Linked DNA regions of Drosophila melanogaster. Changing the gene in region 1 together with any one later gene gives a genetic interaction. Each region holds a gene or a part of one and is shown on either strand. Other genes may lie near its edges.

Region 1 (4,888 bases):
AAGATCCCCTATCCCTTATCACTTCCTTTGGAGCATCCAGCGATCCTAAGGACAATGAGGTCCTTTGTCTGTGATGCCCTTTAATGTGTCAAAATATAGTCTATAGTCGCATTCTCCCATGCGTTTGTTTTTCTAATGCAACGTGATTTATTGTCTGGCCAGTGGAAGAGGTTTATTCCAACGGACTGACATCTCAACGGTGCGTGGGAGTGAAGAACTTAGTTATTGTTTGGGGTAAGGTGTTTGCATTTAACTTTTTCAGAAGTGTAAAAAGTGGGTAAAATACTTTTTTGTAAGGCCGTACATTATAGGGAATACTAGGAACTATAGTTAAGCTGAGCAAATTCAAAAGAAAAAGTCTTAAAAGTGTTGATCGGGTTAAAACTACCTCACTTTATATATTTAAGTAGTAATGTATACATAAATACGAACTCCTCTTATATTGAATAAATTGTAAATTGCTTTTTCGACACTTTTCCTTTTTTAAGTTCAATATCTGATCTGAATTTCAAAGTCGTAATTGTAAAACTAGTAACCTTTTAAACTAGTAACCTCGTGGCACGTGTCACAGGTGTCATCGTCTTACCTGCGATAATTTGACATTCTTAGAAACTACCTGAAGAAATAGGAAACTACTGGTCTAAAACCAAATACTGATCTATGTTTTGCGTTATCTGTAATTCGTATTAATGATTTTTGGATATAAGAGTGATTTTGTAAAACCAATGCAAAGCAACCTTAATTGTACATAACGGCTGCACATGGTCCCATCGGCACTGCAAGGCAATGCAAGTAGTACCCGAATGTTTTACAAACCTGATCAATAGATGGATCCCCTTTGAGAAAAGAACTTAAATATGATTTTTCGTTTAATTTTTTCATTTTATTTTTCCACCAAAAACTAATTAACATAAAATTGTATTAGCAAAAAAATATGTTTTCGTTTCCATGCTATAGTTATTTCATAAATATATAAATTTGAAACTGGTCTCGTGGTTCTTAACAATGTAAAAAAATAGCTTAAAGTAAGAAAAAAAAATTGGGGGTATGTTGTTTTTGTATTAGTGTTATTTACAATTTGAGGCACTTGGTTCAACTCAACATTGACTAGAAGAAAATAGGGCGTGGTGGTAAATTTTGGGGATTAAGTCACTGCTCCTGCCATAGAGAGATGTAGTCCAAAATCTCCTCGTCGTCGGGGGTGCAGTCCTCCTCGTCTAATTGAAAATGTTCGTACGGTTCAAATTTTAGCTGAAGTTGGGAGTGCGTGTGTAATTCGTTGTCCAGATGATCCAGACGATCCAGGTGGGTGGATATTTGTTGGGGAACTCCTTCGTAGGTGCCTGAATCAAAGGACATGCTGGAGTTGAATGATGATGTTGGCGAGTGGCAGGTTTGCTGGTTTTTGCTGGTGGATACGCATCCTGCATCTCCACCTGGTACGGATGTGCCCACCAAGTTGGTATTTAATGAGAGCGCTGTCAGCGGTTGGTGATTGAACTGCTGCCTCTGTAGCTGCTGCTGTTGTTGCAGAGGACTGACAGAGATCGTGTTTTGATAGTAGGTATTATGCCCTGAGGAACTGCAAGTACTGCTGCTCGAACTGTGACTGCTGGACTCATCCAAACAAAGTTGAAGCTGGGTGACTGCATTGTTGGCACCAATATTGCTGCCCCCATTTAGGTCATCCACCAGATCCTGAAGCCTCCGGATGTACTCGACGGCAATGCGCAGTGTGTCTACTTTGGAGATCTTTTTGTGAGGTCCTCGACCACCACCCTTTGTCAAATCCGTGATTATGGATTGTGGTATATGTTGCCGCAACCTGGCGAAGCTGTTGTTCACCTGCTTTACACGATTTCGTTCTCTAGCATTGCGCCTTTGGACCGACTGGGATTGGTCTACATTATATGGAGCCGGCGAGGAACCAGGCGATAGAGATGATACTGATTCAGAGCATCTGGTCAGTGCCATACCCCTTGGTGTATACTTGCGAGTCTTAATTGGCATTGTGCCAGCGGGTTGATTTTGATTGCCACCGGGAATTAATGGACTAGGGGCTGGCATTATGTGCTGATAACGAAAGATCTTCGTTGCCGAATTGATGGTCGTTGGAAACGTTTCGTTGGTGGACAGCACACTCGATGACATGGTAGTGCTTTTCGTTGTATTATTATTATTTTTCATTAACACACTCGGAGCTTTCTTTAACTTTCCGGATAACGATCAACAGAAAAAAATAAATGAACAGAGTACAATACTTGAACTTGATCGTTTGACACCTTACACAAGAATGAGTCCCTTCGTCCTAAACCCTCGCGTTATGTACCCTTTATGCAACTCTCTGCACAACACTCAGGCAGAGAAACGGGCGAGAGAATCGGAGAGAAAGAGAGAGAGAGAGTGACGGCAAGAGCTACCTGCACAGGTAGGGAACTCGAAGTGAGTGAGCCACAGGTAGTCTCTCTCTCTTTCTCTGTCTCAGGTACTCGAGTATCCCACAGGAAAACTGTTCTCACTCGACAGTCCAAAAGAAACACTCAAATTTTAAACTCAAAATATCAACTCGAAATATCGAAAAACGATCAAGGTATCTGAGTGAGGGCTCTTTTTGCTACGGCACGCCAGCAATTTGATTTCTGTGTTAATTAACTTAGCAAAAGTCGCGATCGCCAATTTTATGTGCAGCTCACGCACGCTTCTATTCATTAGCGCCGGACGGATCCAAGGGATCGACAGAAGATCCTGGGATCCTCCTTATTAGACATTCGGAGTACGCTCCCTAAAGGTGTTCAAACAATTTCACTTATTTCTCCAATTAAATTATCAAAAGGATCACAATTTTTTGTTAAGTAAATCAAAGGGATGTGACACAAGTTCTAGAAGGAAGTTTGCAGTGAAAACTGCGGTTCTTTGTTTGTGGCTACTTGTGTTTTTTCTAGAACTACTGGGATGTTGCTTTAAATATATTAATTTGTTTGGGAATAATTTAGTTCTGGGTTTGATTAAATGTTCACACATTTGACTTTTAACGGTGTATACTTGTTATTTGTTCTATTACATAATGCGGTCTAAGGTAAAGAAATACTAGACATACATGAAGTTTCATACATCTTCTTTGAAATAATAAATTGATTATTTCAGACTGTTGTAACTTGCCATTGGCCACTGTGTCGTGCTAAACGGCGACTGTAAATTGTAACTTCCGCTCTGTTCACAAAAATCGGTTCATTTTGTCACGATCATCAATCGATGAGCGAGTGAAAAGATGCCAAATCGGCGACCAGGTGTAATATTTTTATTGTCCTCAACTCGTTACCCTCGTTTGCTTCTGCCAGCATTTTTCTTTTGCCAAATCATCAGCAATAGCACTTCTTCACTTCTATTTGGCAAATTTTAGATCCCCGGATCCCAAAATCAAAAACCGAATCCGAAACCAAAACCAAAGCGAAAACCGAAATCCTGATAACAAAAAAACCTTTTCAACCATGACCAGCAAACGGCGCTTCTCTGTGTTGTTCCTATAAATAAAATCCTTTCACCATTTCCAATACCTTTTTTGCATGCTGAACTTCGCTTGGAGTCTCCACTCTTTAGTTTTTGCATTGTAACGGAGGGATCGGTAGTTGGTTTCCATTATTTTACCATCATTAACACTATCATTGTTCTTGAGTGTTGCAGAAATTTTGGCAGCACAATGTTCTATTTAAATTTTCGCATTTTCCAAAATTCCATTGAAGCATTTTAATAAATGGTTGGGAGAAATGCCGGTGACATGCCTAGAATAGGGTTGAAGTCGTCATTAGAAACTCCACTCAGTGAACTGTGTGATCTATGGTGTATGCGGACATTTAACTGAAGTGGAATGCATATAATGCATATACGCGATCCTTTTTTCCTTGAAGCGGAGAGTCATAAGCAAGGTTGGTATAATCGCGTGTTCGGTACAATTGATTAATCATAGGTCCAATTCCGGTCACCGCTTGCATGTAAATGCCACTCATACCTTGAACAAGCATTGGATATTACCTTCAAAATTATAGTACCTAGTGTAGGAATCTTTTAATTTTGAATGATTTAAATTTTATATTTCATAAATGCTTCATTTCCTTTAGTATATAATATTGTTAATTTAACTCTATCTTTGTGGAAGTCTTTTATATATTTTCGGAAACTTAATAATGTTTTTTTTATTATTTCGAAAGACTTGTTCTTCAGGAAAACCATCAGAAAGCAAGTTAAGTAACCTTTCGATGTTGTCCCGACAACCAGTAAACATTTTTTTCGGACTACCTTGTTTATATCCTTTTTCCAGACGCAACGCTTGGAGGATTTAAATGCGTAATTACTTTGATATGAAGCATAGTTCCGGACCGCGAAAACGGGAAATGGAAAGGACTCAAAAGTGTAAGCGAGATGAAGAGCGGGGCCCTTGCGATAATTGGGTAGGAGCAGGATGGAACGAGGCAGGATATATAACCTACCCATTATATGGGTATATATGGGTATATATATATATATATATATATATCCTAATCGGTGGAGCGACGCGTGCGTTTTTCCAACGAAACTTGAAATGCAAAAATGAATGTTGAATCTTAATTTAAACGAGTTTTCGTAGCCAGGACCTGCAGAAGAGAGCAGGAGATCGGCGAAAAAAGAAAAAGTGAAAAAGAGTGAGGGATACAAGTATATGTATACTTGCATATAGATATTTCTGTTGTCGCGTTCATTTCTACACGTAAAAATATTATTTAATAGGTTGTATATAAAATTATTATAAGTGCATTACAAGAGTATATAGTGAAATTTCTGTTATTTAAATATTTATATTTTAAGTAAATGTTTTTGACCATTTTTATTATCAAAAGTTTTAATATAAATCTAA
Region 2 (5,956 bases), on another chromosome or scaffold:
TGGTCCCTTCTCTTTCTTTTGCTCTTTTTTTTTGGGGGGGGGGGGCAACCCATTTCCGCACACGTCGCTGAATTTTGCACGTAAAAAATGTTTGAAACAAACAAAATATTTGTTTAATTTATTTTAATTTCAAAGTTGCAGCAGTTGCAGATATTTTTGCAGCAAGCGTGTGCGAGTGTGTGTGTGTGTATGTGTGGAAAATGATATGAAGGGGACCAAAAAACAAAAAAAAAAAAAAAACAGGGACAATAACAACTCCGGAAAAGTGAGAAAAACTAAGCCACAATCATAATTCACGCGCTAAAAACACGGAGGGAAAAGTGGGAAAATGGCGGGGTAAGGTAACGTTTTAGGAGCGCAGGCATTTGGAAAAGCCAGGAAATGAAATGAATGTGGAAAACTCAAAGGGAAAGCGGCATGGAAATACAGGAAAAAGGGCGACAGTTAGCAGGTAGACAAACGAAAATAAAAACCAAAGGCAGACGAAATAAACATAAAAACCAAAGGAGACGCACACAAATTGTTGCAAACTGCCTTTCGAGCACTTCTTAAGCAATATCCTGTGCTGCTCCTTGAGCATTTTACTGTACACACAACGGCACCGGGGATTTTCCAAGGAAAACTCAACCAAATTGGAATGCACTTCAAGGATCAACAGGATAAATGTGCTGACAATCAAGTAGATGGTGTGGGAAAAAGACACAAGACATGGCTAAAAATAAATCATGGAAGGGGCGTTTTGGAAAATGTTGGTTTATTTAAATAAATATTTAAATATTTTTAAACTATTTATACATTACATATATAAGCACGAAACCGCTAAGGTTATTAGTTCAGCCCATTTGCACATTACCAAGTAATTATTATCCTAAGCCGCCAAAGGTCTTTAGTTTTCCACCATTCCTCGTTGCTAATCTTTTAATGCGTTTTTAATGTCTGATCCCTCCGATCCGCGTGCCTGTTTTAAATGTCAATTCCCTCTTGGCCACTGTCATCAAATCTAATAATGCCCCCGAGTGGAGCAATTCCCCAGAAGCTTGAGGCCTAAAAAGCCTCCATAGAGAGTTCATTGATTTCTCGTTTTTTTTTTCGGTCGGAGGCGTTGACAGTTAAAGCTTCAAAGACGACTTTTACGAGTAGTTCGTATAAAAGCGTTGGAAAACGCGTGTCAAAGGCCCAATTAAGATGTCAAATCAACACGTTTTGTTTATTAACTGATTGCACACACACAAAACACGAGCTGAAAACGCGGAGAGCGCCATAAAGTTAATGGTGCAATATATCTTTTGAGGGGGTTAAAAACTCAGAGGGACTAGCCCCCAACTAATCGCCAGACAAATTAATAAAAAGGAACTGGCTGCTCCCCTTTTCGACTTCCCTTGACCGATTTGCCCGATTGAGTGGATATAATTCACATTTAAATTTAGCCCCAGCCCCCCCCCTTTGCCGACTTTTCCAGGGGTTCTTTAAGTATTAAAAAGCATTTTGTAAGCAAAGCATTATGTGTGCGGAAGGGAAAAACTTTGCCGAAGCGTGCCAAACTAAAGTTTTTCCTATACTTATACCACTGTGTCCTCTCCCCCAGTTTTGCGCCCTTTATTTGTGACACAGTAAATATTCTTGCATAATAACAGCATTTCCTAACTGATGCGGAGCATCTGGAAAGTGGAAAATTATGCTGGAATTTTTAATTAAGACGATACTTATATCTTTCAGACTGTCAAGTGTGGATATAGACATAGTAAATACATGGTTAATCAGTTTTTTTCATGGAATATCGACTTTACTTTAGCTACCGATTCAATATCTTCCTAGTAAATGCTGCCAATTGACAGGAGCCAACAAAGGGGTGGGCTGCGGAAAATTGCGTGGAAAATTGGGGAGGCTTGGGTAGCAGATAAAAAACTTTACGCTGACGTCAAGCTGCAACAACCTAGATCAACAAAAAACTAAAGTGACGTCGCAAGGTGACAACAGCAAAGGCGACTTGAAAAAACAGGGGGAAAATGCCGGAGGAAAGTGGCGGAAAAAGGGGAGCTGTCATAAGCAGGGTATGTCAAGGGCGGAACCGAAACTTTTAATTGATTTGTGATATGCGTGTGCCGAACACAAAGAGTGAGCTAGCGAATAGATTGGGATTTATCGGGAGCTATCAATCTTACCACCGATAAACAAATGAACTCAAGTGATACCCCCTATAGATATTTAAGTTCTGGAATAATGCTCGAGAAAAGCTGGGTAATCTTCTTAGCAATTATATACATATATAACTCCATTGCAAACAAAAAGCTTCTTATCAAACGAACAAAGTAAACTTACCGATGAGAAAAAAGTTGCATATAGTCGTTGCTGCTCTCCTCGCACTCCTGCTATTGACTATTGCCGTCCCTTTCGTGGTAGTTTTTCGCCTCATTTTGTGACTATATTTTGAATATATTTTGTATATGTTTCTACTGTTTTTGCTTATCTTTGGGTGCTACTCTCAATTCCCTTTGCAAAAACAATTTTTGCTACTTTTGCTGGACTTCTTATTCCAATTCGCAGTTAGTGGTGTTGTTGCAACGCTCCATTGCGTTGGTTAATGTTTTTATGCTTTCGACGATATAGTATTTTTTATTTATTGCACACGAAACTTTGAACGGATAGCCGAAAACGAAGAAGAACAACTGAAAAGGGTTAAGAATGGTGTTGTTGATTAGAAATTGCTCGGCTTTGTGGGGTTAAGATGTTGTATGTGGTTCCACGGGCATTCTTGTTTTTTATTAGTTATTCAAGTGCAGTTTATGTTTATAATCCAAGTCCTTATGGCAGTTGTTGTATTATCACTAATTCTTTTAAGTTGTATCCATCCATTGTTTTTTTTTTTTCATAAATTTGCAATAATTAATAATATATTTTTTATTATTAATATATCAAAAAAATTTAACAGGTTTTTTTTACTTTGTTTAAGTTTTCTTTTTCATCTCATTTATCCATATCTTTGCTTCGCCTTTATCTACCTCTCCTTTTTCACAGTTATAACTGCATTTATGCTTCACACTTTTTCGTGCTTGTTGTTGCTTTAGAGTTGCAACATGTTTTTATTGCTTTTGTTGTACTTTTGAGCAGGTAAGAAAATCACTTAAAAGGTTTCCAAGAAACACACCAATACACGTTATACACACAATCACACGCACGCATACACATACACACGAAATGGACGCTAAACCTGTTTCCCAGGTAAATCGGTAAAGATGTGCGAGTGCGAGGGGGACAGAGCGATCGTCAGAGATCGTGGATAAAACGGGAGGGAGGGAGCGAGATAGAGATGACGCAGATGCTGCGTTTTTTTCTTATTTATCTTAGCTTCGTTTCCTTTTCTTAAAGTTTTAACTGTTGTTTATTCGAAATAAATCTATTATTTTGTATTTATTGTTGCTTGCTTGCATTGTTTTGATTTTGTATACCGTTGCTTTTGGTCTTTCCACTGCCACTGAAACCACACACACACATACACTGTGCACAGTAATTTTGTATAAATTTCAATTTTATACCTCAAATTTAGTATATTTTCTGCGTTTTACCCAATAAATTGGGACTGTTGTTGTTGCTGCTGCTGAGTTGTTGTTCGCACACACGCGGAAATCGACGAAAAACGCGGCGGGAAATTCAGACAACGCGCGCTCACTTTTCCACGAAGCGTTCGATCCGAAATGGGAAAACACACAGAGAAAGGGAAACGAAAATTTGAGCCGCAGCCGCAAAATTCAAGTTCCACAACACAGTCCGCACAAGTTCGAGTCGAACGCGTTTGATGAGAGCCGTTAACAGCGCTGTTAAGTTAAGCTAACATGTTTGACTCGACTTTTATTAAGAGAACATAATAGCGAATTTCTCTTAAGTTTGATTATATTCAGAAAACAAATAATAAATGTTGCCTTTATATTTTAGGCATGTAATGTTTTCAACAAAAGAACCAATAAATTTGAAATAATTTTAAAATTGTTTTTAAGTTTAAATCATCATGTAGTTTCTTTTATATGTAACTTTTAAGGAGAAGTAAACCCATTTTGGAAAAAAAATTGTTTCATTTGGTTTTAAAAACATTGTATGCGTATTTATATATTTTATATTTTTTTCGTCGATAACGGACCCAAATGGTGAAAATGAGCCTAAGGCAGCAACGAATAGAAGCAATTTTGTATGGAAATTCAATTTGCCTTTAGCAACATGTTGCATTTTCCTAGAGGTTTTGAGTGCCTTTTTCCAAGAAAACTCGTTTCTTTGGCCAACAAGAAAAACCAGTCGGGAAATTAGTCAAGAAAAATATAAATAAGAAAAGCCAGCAACAAGTTGGTTTTAAACCAGAGGGAATGGTATAGTCGAGTTTCTCGACTATCAGATACCCGTTACTCAGCTAGTGAAAATGCGAATGCGAAATGCGAAAGTGTTAGAAAGTGTGTTGCTAAATCGATTCGGCTATTGTTCCTGATCCTGAATATATATACTTTATAAAGTTGGAAACGCTTCCTTCTGCCTGTTACATACTTTTCAACGAATTAAGTATACCCTTTAACTGTACGAGTGACGGGTATAAGAGTGGTGCGAAAGGTGCGGCGATAGTGTACATGCAACAAGTTCGAGCTTGAAGGCAAGTAAACTTCGTTAAGTTCGCACATAGCTATGTCCATCTCTTTCGCACCCCCTGTAGCGATCTACATTAAACCAGTTATCTTAAGAGTTTGTGAAGAGACCTCCTTCCTCTTGCACACCTCAAGTAAACCCGTTTTCTAAAAAACACGTTATATTCGAGACGAAAACCTCACTGCTACGACACTCAGCAGCTTAAACCTTTCTTAGACTTTTTTATGACCACACCCACGAGCCAGGTTACAAAAAAAAACTTAAAATTGTTTGTACTTTCAAATAACAATTATACCGTATATAGTATAGTATAGATAGTGTTTAGATTATCCACTAAAATCAGTACGCAATTGTTATAATTTACCCAAACAGTAGCACTAAGTCTTGGTATTATGTAGGGTTTTTTCTTCTTTTTTTCTTTTGAGAAATACCGCGAATGATTGATTTTTTCCGCTTTGTTTCTGAGCAGCTGAAGTGGCTCTGCATATTCAATATTTTTATTTAGCAGTCATGCCACGCGCTTTGCATAATGAATGCATAGGACTTACAAGCAGCCCAAGAATGGTAAATAATTTTAAAACAGATTTTCTGCTCGTTCTGTCTGTTCTGTCGTCGCTGTTCAATGTTTATTGAATTTTTGATTTGGGCCCCAAGGTGATTTCTCCTCATCATAAAACGCCGGACATGTCCCGCTACTAAAGACGCATACAAATGACCTTTGGGTTGGCGGGCTGGCCCCGCCCCCATTTCCCTCAGGTGAAAAGACGACTAGACAACACAACCACTCCCCCCCCCCCATTTTTTTCTTCCTTCCCTCGCTAGGAGCACACGAAAATCCAGCTTAATTATCCCTATCCCTTGCTTAATGTTGCTGTTTACTCGTAGATCCTGGTAATTTCCTTAGCATTACTTTCCTTGCATATTAATCGCCATAAATTTGGGTTAAAATATGTATTAACCATAGGGACAGTCACGGATAAACATTTTTCTACTTCCGTAGCTTTATAGATTACAAATACAACTCTTCTCCCTAAAATCGATTTCAATTTTCATTACTTGATATCTACGACTTCTTCTGAAAAGAGAGGCTTAGATGAGGAAGTCTATATGAAACTCAACTCTTAATTTGAAAAAAAAAAACATTTTCAGAATCACGATGAAGATTAAGAAGAAGGAGTTGAATTTCAAAAAGAAACTGGCTGGCAAAATTAAGAACCCACAACATGATCTGCGGTTTTGAAGACTGCTTGAATTACAAGTGAATTAAAGTTAATACATATATAAAAAATAAGAATAAAAAATAAGTAAAGTTGTAGGCGCATAAGATGAAAAC
Region 3 (4,621 bases), on another chromosome or scaffold:
TAGCTGCTCGGGAATAACGACCGATATTGGCAGGAAGGCCTCTCTTCCCGCATCACGACGGATCGCACCCTTTTGTTGTGCGTGGCTTTTGAGATGGGGGAACCGAACGGAGCCGAACAATTTGTGTAATTGACAAATTGACGGCAGCGCTTTGTGCGGAAGCGTTCAAAGCCGTAAATTGTCGCTAACAAGAGCGACACTCCAGGGATATCGGCAGGATATCGCCTTTATGCCTCGCATTCGCGCCTATACAAATATAATTGCCTCAGCCGCTGGAAAAGACGCCTGGGGAGACGCCCGCACCTCGCGATCACTAAATTAAGTCATTAACAATTTAACGAAGCCCTGTCGATGCCGCGCTGCCGCTTAACTAATTATGTGAATTTCCTTTTGATTATGTGCCCCGAAATCCGTGCAGCTTTTGCGGCGACGCCCGAAAATGATTTTGCAAAACAAACAGTAACAGCCCACGAAATCCGGTCGCTGCCACGCCCCCACCCTCGCTAGCCGCCACCGAGCGCTCCAATTCCCATGCGGGAGTCGATCGAATCGCCGGCACTCGGGCGTTGCTGTCGCTATCAACAAATTGGCTTCGAATCTTACGAATGATTGACTGACTGACTGAATGACTGACTGACTGGGCCGGGGATCTCTGCTCCGTTTTAAGCTGAATGATATGTTGCACTGCCAGAAATCGTCATAGGATTTATTTATTCAACAGATCCAAAAATATCATCCATCTAATATCACTAAATAATATATTTAATTATATTTTAAAGGGAATGAATTCTGTGTAGAACTAACTATAAAGGTTTGCTTTGATCCTATCTTGTACTATATACATTTTATTATATTACCTTAAATAATATTATTTATTACATTAACTTATTGAACAAAACTTCTTCAACACCTTCTTGTTTTGCTGAGTGCACAGTTTCGGCTTAAAGTCTTAAGCCGCTGAGTTTATCCGCCAACAACGATCGGGGATCGAACTTCGTATTAAACGATTTGTGAGTGGCGCTTGATTTTCGGGGCTCGACTGGGACTTCCACTGGGATATGAAGTTGCAGAGGTTCCAGGGACAGCGACGGACAAATGGACATACGGACAAGCGGACATACGGACATTGCATGCGACCTGCGACTGCTGAAAGCAGATCAGCCCAACACTTAACTTAATTTGGCAGCTACAGTCCGGCGCGCCGTGCCGTGTAATTATCGTCCGCTGCGTATTTGTTTTGGCCAACCCGATTAAGAGGGGCCCTAATTTTGTCGAACTGTCTACAAATTGATCGCGAAGCGCCAAATCGATCACCTTCCCCCATATAATAAAGTCCAATTCACTGTGTGAGAATTGATGCCCCGCCGATAAGTGTGGATATCGAGGATTGGGGAAACAGAATTGTTCAGAGATGAAAGGATTTGGATGGCTTGGAATTTTTGTATTTATCATTTTGCATCTAGGAATTGTTGCATAGCTACTAAAACTGTTAGAAAGTCCCCGTTAACAAAAAACGAACATATGTTTTAAATTATTAATGGTGCTTTTATTTTGTCTTCCTTAGTCTTAATCATTGTCTTCCATTTAGGCTAATTAACTAAACAATAAACAGCATAATACTTAAGCGGTAATTCACTACTGGGCTCCAGGCAATATATACAAAGTAGCTACAACATTTGGCAAGCTCCAACAATAACTGAGAATAGTACTTGGGACTGGGATCGGGATCCGGGAATTCAGCGCAGCAGATCCCCGAGAGCGGATATGTAGGTCTGGGCCATTTGGAGGGTCTCGTGTTTGGACAGCTGGCGATCGTTTCCCAGACAGGGAAGGTACTGGCGGAGACGATCGAAGGCCTGGTTGAGGTTCTGCATCCGACGACGCTCACGTGCATTGGCGGCCAGGCGACGCTTCCTCTTCACGACGGGTGTGATCTGCTTGCCACGCCTCTTCTTTCCAGAGCCTCCGGCAGCGGCATCTTGGTTCTCACCATCGGCCAAGTCAAAGGATCCATCATTGCCATCGAAGTCCTCACCGCCACTGAAGAGCATGAGGTCCTCGTCATCCTCGACGCTGTCATCGAACAAGGCGGAGTTGTCAAAGTCAAAGTTCTGGAACTCCTCCGTGTAGAGATTCACTGAGGCAGATGACTCCGCAGCTGCAGTCGGTGTGGAGGTGGCGGTGGTGCTTGGCTGGTTCTTCTTGGTATAGCTACGCTTCGGTTTCGGACCTGCTGAGGCTGGAATCGTTTTGCAAGTGCCCACGTTGGAGGAGCCCATGACCTCCACTGCCGGAGGAGAGGCCACTGGAATTGCAGGCGCTGTGGAAACAACAGACTGCTCCATAATCATTCCGTATTGTTGGTTCTGGGCCATGTTGTTGCAGCCTCCATTGTACATGGTATTGAGATCCACATACTCGGGACTCTCAGATCGGTGGCTAGCCGGCGAGGAGGAGATCCAGCCATCGGAACTGGCCTGCTCGAAGCTGATGAAGCCATTGGCCGACAAGTAGTTGCTGCTGCTGGCCAGGGTGTTGCCATTGAACTGGTAGTGGGTCACGCCGGGATTGTAGGCTGCCATGGGATTGAAGTACGGCTCGGCGGCGGCTGTCTTGAAGCCCTGCAAGTCCTCGGAGGTCTTGTAGTAGTAGCGATAGATCTCACTGGACGACATGTTGCTGCTGCTGTATGGTGGTGTTATGTTGCTGGATGAAACGATACGAACGCTGCGAGTGCTGGCGGGTTTCTGACTGGTCTCTCGTCCTTTCGGCCCTATTTATACTCACAAATCCACCACGACGGTCAGAAGGGCCTGAAAGGCAGGTAGGGGGGCAGGTAAACGAGTTGCCACAGAAGGCAGCACGTGCCGCCCGAGTGGCACGACCAATGGCAGTTGGTGGTGAGTTGCAGCGGTCTCAGAGAGCCCGGTTATACCTCAGTTCGTTGCGAGCTTAAAATGGCGCTAGAAAACCGACTATCTGGGCATCTAAAGCCGCTAACAAGATGATTATAGGATGGCCGGCACAACCGGAACAGGAATATGGGCGGAAATGTAAACAGAACTTGGACAAACAATCGATTTGAATCCCTAAACGGGATTAAAGTCGACCGCAAAGCGAAGCGAAATTTGCAAAAATCCCTTGGCGATTTGTCAGCACCAAATGGCAGAGCGGGTCTTATGAGTTTATCTAATCTGCATCGGTTGCAAGTGGGTTCGATCTACCTGATCACGGCTAGGGAAATCCTTACAAATCCACCGCCGCCGGGTCATTCGACATGCTTACCCAAAGTCGGGGGCGGAATATCGCAATGAAAAATCTTGTTTATTACAACTTGGCAAATTTTCCAATTGATACGCTTGTTGCCGGTACCATGAAGAAGGTAGATGATAGCGCCGGCCCTTCAAGGACACGCTTGACCGAGTGCCAGGACTGACCTTCACCTTAGCCCTCGTCGTGCCTAATAAGCGTGGCAGGCAGTAACTAAGAGCTGGGTTAACATTTTAGCGCCTTGCAATTAATACGGCCGTGTGTTCGATCGTGAGCAGGGAATTTAGTTGTAGATCCCAGGATGACACAGCAAAACGAAGCGTCCACGGTGGTCCTTAGATCCCTTCGCTACGCCCCTTAATCCTTAATGATTCGCTGGAAATCATAATGCAACGAATTCTACATCAACCACTTGCGGGGGAGTGTTCGGGCATCTTTGAAGTTCCGCGGCCACCCAGTCGCACAACTAGTAGCACGCCCCAAAGGATCTGATCTTTTTGCCGGGCAATAAAAACGCTGTCAATTAGATAAAAATGTCACACAACAAACCGCACCAAGAGCGGCACCACCAATTTATTGGACGCACACAGGCATGTTTGACCTTTTGTCCACCCCTGAGAGACCTCGAATGTCCTGAACGTCCCTCGTGAATGTCCTTCCATGCAATTTACGAGCCACTTGCCGCAACAGACAGTAGTTACACCTGCAATATGTACCTGTGCAGATCGTATCCCTCGGATTGCATCTCCGCTGTAAAGTTTTTCGCTTATCGGCATTAGCCGATGTCAAGGCATCCGCTGCATATCGATTGGGAAATTTACATTTTCATTGCCGCATCGCAATATGCACGTGCTGCCAGTCGAGGGGGCAAAAAGGGTCATTCCAAGTCAAGTCGAGTTCTTTTTTCGCCAATGGTCGGCATCGGGCGCCTTGCGTGCCTGTCAGTTATCGAGTGGCTGATCCCTCACATCGGACCCACATACCTTATGAGTACCAGTACCTCCAATACCTCAGCTCCAGCTCATTGGCATCAATACGCTGGTAACGGGCCACTTCTTTCATGTCAATATGCATAAATGCAACTTGGCCATCGATGGGAATGCAACTGATGTGGAGCAGCTTCCAGAAAGCGCATGACAAAGCCAATTGAATGGGTATGAATCTGCTTGGGTGAAACATGAAACACTCTTGTAGTCATATCCAAATCATATTCTTATATTATCCTAGAAAAACCAACCTGTATATTCTTGAGTGTAATATAATATGGTGAATGTTATAATTGTATATTGGGTTTTTTACTAAACTCTCAAATCATGTATTAGTTACTTAGGCCATTAAACTATTGACGCAG
Region 4 (6,119 bases), on another chromosome or scaffold:
CTTGGATCCCTCTATGCACTGAAAAAAGCTAAACTTACATTTCCACAATGTTTGAAAAATGTAGTAATAAAGTTTAAAACAGATCTGCCTTCCATTAACTATGTCTATTTAGGTAAGTTCGAATGGCTTTGCATTAATGATGAAGAGATTAGCAAGTTAAAAATGTATTTATTCCTACCCTTTTCGCTCAGTGTAGCCACGTGAAACTTGACTAAGACTTGTTGCTGCCGTTGCCGTTTGGGTTTTGCTGCTTTTCTAGCTGCCTGATGATCTAATTTGGCAACAATTGTCGTGGTCGTCGATCGCTGATGCCGATGATCGCGGATCGACTGGATCGGCGGATCCCCATCCCCAAACCCATGCCAATCCCGATCCCGATCCCCACACACATGTGTGCGCTATTTGTGGGCCTCTGGAGCAGGCTCTCCTCCGCCTGGCGATCGATTGATCTCGATAATGAGTTTCGTTTCGTTTCGTTTCATTTCGTTTGGCTTCAGAGGACGCACCCATAATTTCGTATGCTCTGTCACCCGAACGATACCTTACCGTACGATTATGATTTCCCTGCGCTTTTCCGCTTGGCTGGATACTGGTAGGCATCGATCACACTTGATGATCTCCGGGCCAAGACACTATTTTCACTGCTCTCTCATTAAGATCGCGTCTCATGTCTAATACGACTTTTTGGCCGGGGCGCGGGTCTACTGAGGCTTGAAGTTTGATTTAGTGACTGCCATTTTGTGCTCGCGTCGTACGTGCACCGAAATTTAAATACATACATATACATATGTAATTTATGATCAGTCTGCCAAAGAAAATGCGCCTTACGTTTGCTTCACTGGGCGGGCCATAAAATGTCGCGAATGGCTGGATTGGGTCGGCTCTTATTTTCCGATCCACTCAATTCGATTTGTTTATTTGTTCGAAGAAGAAGAACATGACCCAATAAAACCAAATATGTGGCGAACTCTGGAAGAGACCACTCACGATCATTCTAGATTCCATTGAACCTTCTGCCGGAAATAGGAATTGACTTTTAATTGAATGTGGACAATAGAAAATGTGGTCTAAGCATTCAACAGATAAATATTTAAAGGTTGTATATATGTACATTTAAATATGTCAAATATTACATTAGCTGACCAGAAATGTTATAAAGATTTAACCACTGAAGTTGATATGAAAATACCATGCTTAAATATGATTAAATTAACAATGTTTTGGCATATAGGAGTATCAAATTAAGACTGTTTCAAATATATGTATGGTATTGTTAACATAATTACCGTATATAGAAAAATAAAAGATTTTTTCTAAGTTTGTGTAGAACGACTTGCATATTATCCTGAAATAAAAAGGTCCCAAAGCCCACCCATTAATGAAATAAAAACGTTTTCAATGTTTTTTTTTTGTATGTAAATAAAATGTATTTCCTTCTTTCTTCGCTTGATGCAATAAATTACTTAGAATTACAAAACATTTTCGTATCAAAATATATGTATGTGTTGTTTGCTTATCTTCACTTAAGCTACAGTAGAACATTTTCAATGTGTACGCGAAAAAGTAGTGGTCATATCAAAAATAGTTTACGGTTTTTACAGCTAGGCTAAAAATACTATCGTATAAAATATAGAGATGTATGTCTTGCTTACGATTGATTGTCTGGCGTTTCATTTGTTCAGCTTAGAGTCTACAGTTAGACATAATACATTATGTACAGGATAAATCGAAGAATACTTTACAAAGTTCATCTTTAGGATATATTATGGGCACACATTTTAAAATGGTTCAAACTATTCAAATTGGTGGTGGTGGTTACAAAAATGTTGCCGGATTGTACAAATTAAAACGTAATTTTTAATTTTCTCTCTTCTGGGAGAAAATGCTGACTAGAAATTAAAAAACAAGTGAAATTCTGCTTGAAGTTGTGTGTCTGCACTGGGAGTTTCGGGAACTTGGAGCCGCCTAAGAGAGCTAGGAACTAATTTTTGGTGGAACATGGCTGGGATCTCAGCTATATAATGTATATATAAATATATTGCCTTACGGCTCGGCATAGCCGGCGTAGTTGAGTTCGCTGCTGCTGGAGGATCCTGCACTGCCGCCAGGACATCCGCCCTCTGAATGCTTGGTTAGGAGGGACATCCGCGAGAAGGTCTTCGAGCAACTGGTGCAGGAGTACTTCTTGATGTCCGAGTGGGTCTGCAGATGTGCTCGCAGATTCGAGCGATCTGCAAAGGCCCGGTGGCAATGCTGGCAACTGAAGGGCTTCTCTCCCGTATGAGTGCGAATGTGTCCTTGCAGCAGCCATGGTCGCGAGAAGGCCTTGCCGCACAGATTGCACTTGCAGGGCAACGTGTGGGTGCGAATGTGCATCTTGAGGGCACCCAACGAAACATAGGTCTTGTCACAATCCTTGCAGCTGAAGGACTTCTTCACCTGATTACCCTCGGCGGCCGGGCAATGGAACTGCTGATGTTTGGTCAGCCCGGAGAAGGTGGAGTAAGATTTCTGGCAATCCGGGCACTGGTAACGCGGCGGCTGGTTCTTGTCCTTCTTGGCGGAGGCATTCGGCATAGTTTCGGGCGACATATCCCCGGTTTTGGCTGCTGCTTGCTCTCCCGGCTGGCTAGTGTTTAGATTCAAGTTCAGGTTCTTGTGTTTCAGGGATAGATCCTCGGGCAGCGAGGAGCTGCAGCTGGATTCAGGCGTCATCGATCGCATGGAGTAGTAGGAATTCTCGGAATAAGCCGGCGAGATAGGCGCATGGTGATGATGGGTATGGGTATAGCCGCCCAAGCTCGGATAACCGGGCATCTGTGGATAGGGCAGGAAACGGTGCTGCCGCACGCCGATTGGTCTATGGATGATTTCAGATCTCATGGGCGGGGAAACGGAGCTTGCGCGACCATGAAGGTAATGATGTGGTGGCGGCGACAGGGAGCCCAGCGAGTCACTCGGCGAACTGGGCGCAATGAGATCGCCACGCAGCGGCAAAATCTGATGACCCTGCTGATTGATGGTCCTGTAGAACTCGGCGGTGTAGGGCGACATGTGGAAGTTGTTCCAGGGATATTTCGGGTATGTGGGCGTGGGCACAACCACGGAGGCGGCTGCAGCGGCGGCCACAGCTGCGGCAGCAGCTAAAGCCGCAGCCTGGGTCTGATTTGGGTCCGAGTCCACATCCACATCGACGTCCTCGTCCTCCTCCTCGATGTGTTCATCATCTGTATGATCTACATCCACACCCTCGTCCTCGCAACAATCGCTGACGTTGATCAGTTCCTCGGAGGGATTTTCCTCCAGAATTTCCATTTTCTTTACGCACAAATCCTGCGGCTCATTTGGGGTGTTACTGTGATTTTGAGGCGCCTCGAACTGGTAATTAACTGGGCGCTTTTTTAGCGGGCACTTGCTGTAGTTTTTCTCCACCAACATGTCTTCCACGGTATGCATTTTACTGGCTTTTTATTGATAGTTTACCGGAATTGTTGTAAAATGTTCTTAATTTTCGTCACTTTGTTTTCAGTGTGTCATGTTCACACAGGCACAAATACTCGATCGATGCACAAATACCAAACGCGTGTTCCGTTAAGCAAAGCGATTGAATATCGGTTATATTTCGGGTATATTGCGTTGGGAGAGATGGTTATGTGAATCGGTTAGAGTCTGGGAATAACTGAGCGAGTTTGGCGGTGGTGCGGCCTTTTTATACTGCCCCTGCACTCGGCACTCGGCTCATTACACGAAGCTGCCAAAAGAGAACGCTCTCTCGGGCGTTCCGCCGAGAGTATGCATGTTCATTCAGGTATATGCGTCGACCAATCGCGGCACTCGGCTAAACAGGTTTCGCCTTGTTTATGTAGAATTGCCTCACGTGCCGAACTCGTACACTTGCACCAATCGAAGCCGCAAACGAAGCGATGCCGTTATATTTGCTCTAGTGTGGGCCATATATTCAAATATGTTTACCTGTGTGCATCGTGCTCTCCGCAGCTGCTCTCTCTCGTCCTCTCTGCATTTGCATTCAATGCGCAATAAGGAGATCTATGATCTTACCTAGAAATTTAACTAGAAATTCGAAAAACCCCACTTTTGGAGGATTAGCGAACAAGGGTTTCCTTTTACCTCATTATCATTATCAGGTGCATCATTAGTTGACTTAATAACTGAAACGCAAAAAACATGGGCAGGTACCCAACATAAAATACTAACATTTTTAGGACACAGGGCGATGCATTAATGAGCAGGTAGACTTCTGCATCAATAAAATGTTTTTTGGCAGGAGAAAGGAGTGAACGTAGTAATTGTAGTCACTAAATTTGTTTATTAACAAGTATGTTATTGTACGGAATCAAAAGTAACCAATATTCAATCGATTTTGCGTAAAAAGTTTTAGAAATATTGTATTCCCCGTTTATAAGTAAACAATATTAAATATATTAACATCTTTCATTATGGATCCTTAGGAATATTTATAATAAATTAATAGCTTTACTACTTCGGCGTACTAATATGATTATTCTGTAATTCATCATTAGATAATGATATAGAATTTTTTTCTGCGGGCATGTTCCGGTAATCGAATTGGCGAGAATTTTACGACTTGGATTTGATTCGATTTTGTCCAAATACCCAGAAAAAATTTTAAAAAAATAGGAAAATTTCTCAGAAATACAATACGGTAAATATACAACTAGAACGTTTAGAAAGAGCCAAGCTAAAATTCAGTACGAAAAAGAGCATAAGCATTCTCTTTAAGCCAATTGCTTCTCTTCACTCTCACTGTTTCGATTCCACTTTGTTTCTGTTTCGCTCTCGAAATTTTCTCTTCGATTTGAAAAACGTTTGAGGCGCCAAAGCCACTAAAGGCTGAATTGTACCTTTTTGACAAAACGGAGAGAGATATTTAGTTTCTGTTTTTTTTTTTATTGGGTAACACTAGGCTATATCTTTACGATACCAAAAATTGTGGGCGTGGTCCGCCCCTTATATTTAATTTTGTTACCAAAATAAATACATATCTTTTAAGTAAAAAGACATTTTTGGGATCAATTTTTGATTTGTACTCTTAATAGGCCTTCTTCTTGCAAAGTTAAGCAAACTTTGGTTAAGCAAACTTTGTAAAGGCACCTCTGCTTTCGTGCCAGACACTAAAGAATTATTTAATCGGCAATCTTTCTTTTTATTTGCAGCACGAGGAAAAAATGTTTATTTTTTGTTAACTCCCTAATATATTGTTCTTTGTTACATTTTGATCTAAAATAAGGGAAATGCACGTCGTTGGCAGACATTTTCTCCGCGACATGCTGATTTATTAATGAAATTTTGGCTTTCTCAGGGGATTTCTCGATTAATAATTTAATATTCCCTGCCGTCGATTATGTTAACCGTGCGGGATTTTTTTTTTTTTTAAATTTCTGGTACGCAACACTAAAGTCTAATCTTATAATAACATAATGACGTAATCAAAACTTAATATTACGGACTTTTTTGGCCACAAAAAGGTACCTTTCAGCCTATAGTCCATAGAAGCGATTTCAAAATACACATATTTATGCGTTCTTGAGATTTGCGGGAGGGAAAGGATCCATGTAGTAAACAACTGGTAAACAATTAAGGAGCACGTCGAGATCCTCAAGTGGAAACCAGCACACACATGCACGCTCGACACGAAGTGGCAGATGTGTGGCAACAACACCCAAACAAACAAACAGCGAAAGTGTTCACCCGACAGATAAGATAGTAGGTGTGGCCCCCTCCTACCGACCGATGTCCAATGGCAGGACATAAATCAAAGGGAAGCAAACCACGCCAATTTCTGATCACTTACCTGGAATCACCGCAATACTGAAAACAAATTCATTTATTAAGGAAGAAAGTTATTTGTAATAGTTTTGCATAGAAATTAAATACGTTAAATGAAATACTAATTGTTAAACAACTAACATAAAAACTATAAGCATGCATGAAATTTCAGCATGTCAGTATAATGCTATACAGTTTACAACATATTTTTTTCAGTGTAGAAACCACACACAGTTGGCATTTAACTTAATTAGCGTTCTTATCAAGCATTTGTCCCTGTGGCAGGGCGACTGCTGTGCCTGTGAGGACTC

The links.
Region 2: of sc (region 1) and ed, changing one enhances a phenotype caused by changing the other (phenotypic enhancement), as found in Drosophila melanogaster (one study listed by BioGRID).
Region 3: of sc (region 1) and ato, changing one suppresses a phenotype caused by changing the other (phenotypic suppression), as found in Drosophila melanogaster (2 studies listed by BioGRID).
Region 4: of sc (region 1) and esg, changing one suppresses a phenotype caused by changing the other (phenotypic suppression), as found in Drosophila melanogaster (one study listed by BioGRID).

What each region holds. Positions count from the first base shown.
Region 1 is NC_004354.4:393,476-398,363, reverse strand, and holds sc (scute), read right to left. Parts: upstream 2,305-4,888; 5' UTR 2,188-2,304; coding exon 1,150-2,187; 3' UTR 867-1,149; downstream 1-866. UniProt on the Drosophila melanogaster protein: AS-C proteins are involved in the determination of the neuronal precursors in the peripheral nervous system and the central nervous system. Also involved in sex determination and dosage compensation.
Region 2 is NT_033779.5:4,029,133-4,035,088, reverse strand, and holds the start of ed (echinoid), read right to left. Parts: upstream 3,713-5,956; 5' UTR 3,534-3,712; intron 2,667-3,533; 5' UTR 2,414-2,666; coding exon 2,320-2,413; intron 1-2,319.
Region 3 is NT_033777.3:8,276,180-8,280,800, reverse strand, and holds ato (atonal), read right to left. Parts: upstream 2,750-4,621; 5' UTR 2,676-2,749; coding exon 1,737-2,675; 3' UTR 1,527-1,736; downstream 1-1,526. UniProt on the Drosophila melanogaster protein: Developmental protein involved in neurogenesis. Required for the formation of chordotonal organs and photoreceptors. Seems to bind to E boxes. Specifically required for the photoreceptor R8 selection.
Region 4 is NT_033779.5:15,331,431-15,337,549, reverse strand, and holds esg (escargot), read right to left. Parts: upstream 3,685-6,119; 5' UTR 3,457-3,684; coding exon 2,044-3,456; 3' UTR 1,412-2,043; downstream 1-1,411. UniProt on the Drosophila melanogaster protein: Transcription factor that can both stimulate and repress transcription. Binds to the consensus DNA sequence 5'-A/GCAGGTG-3'.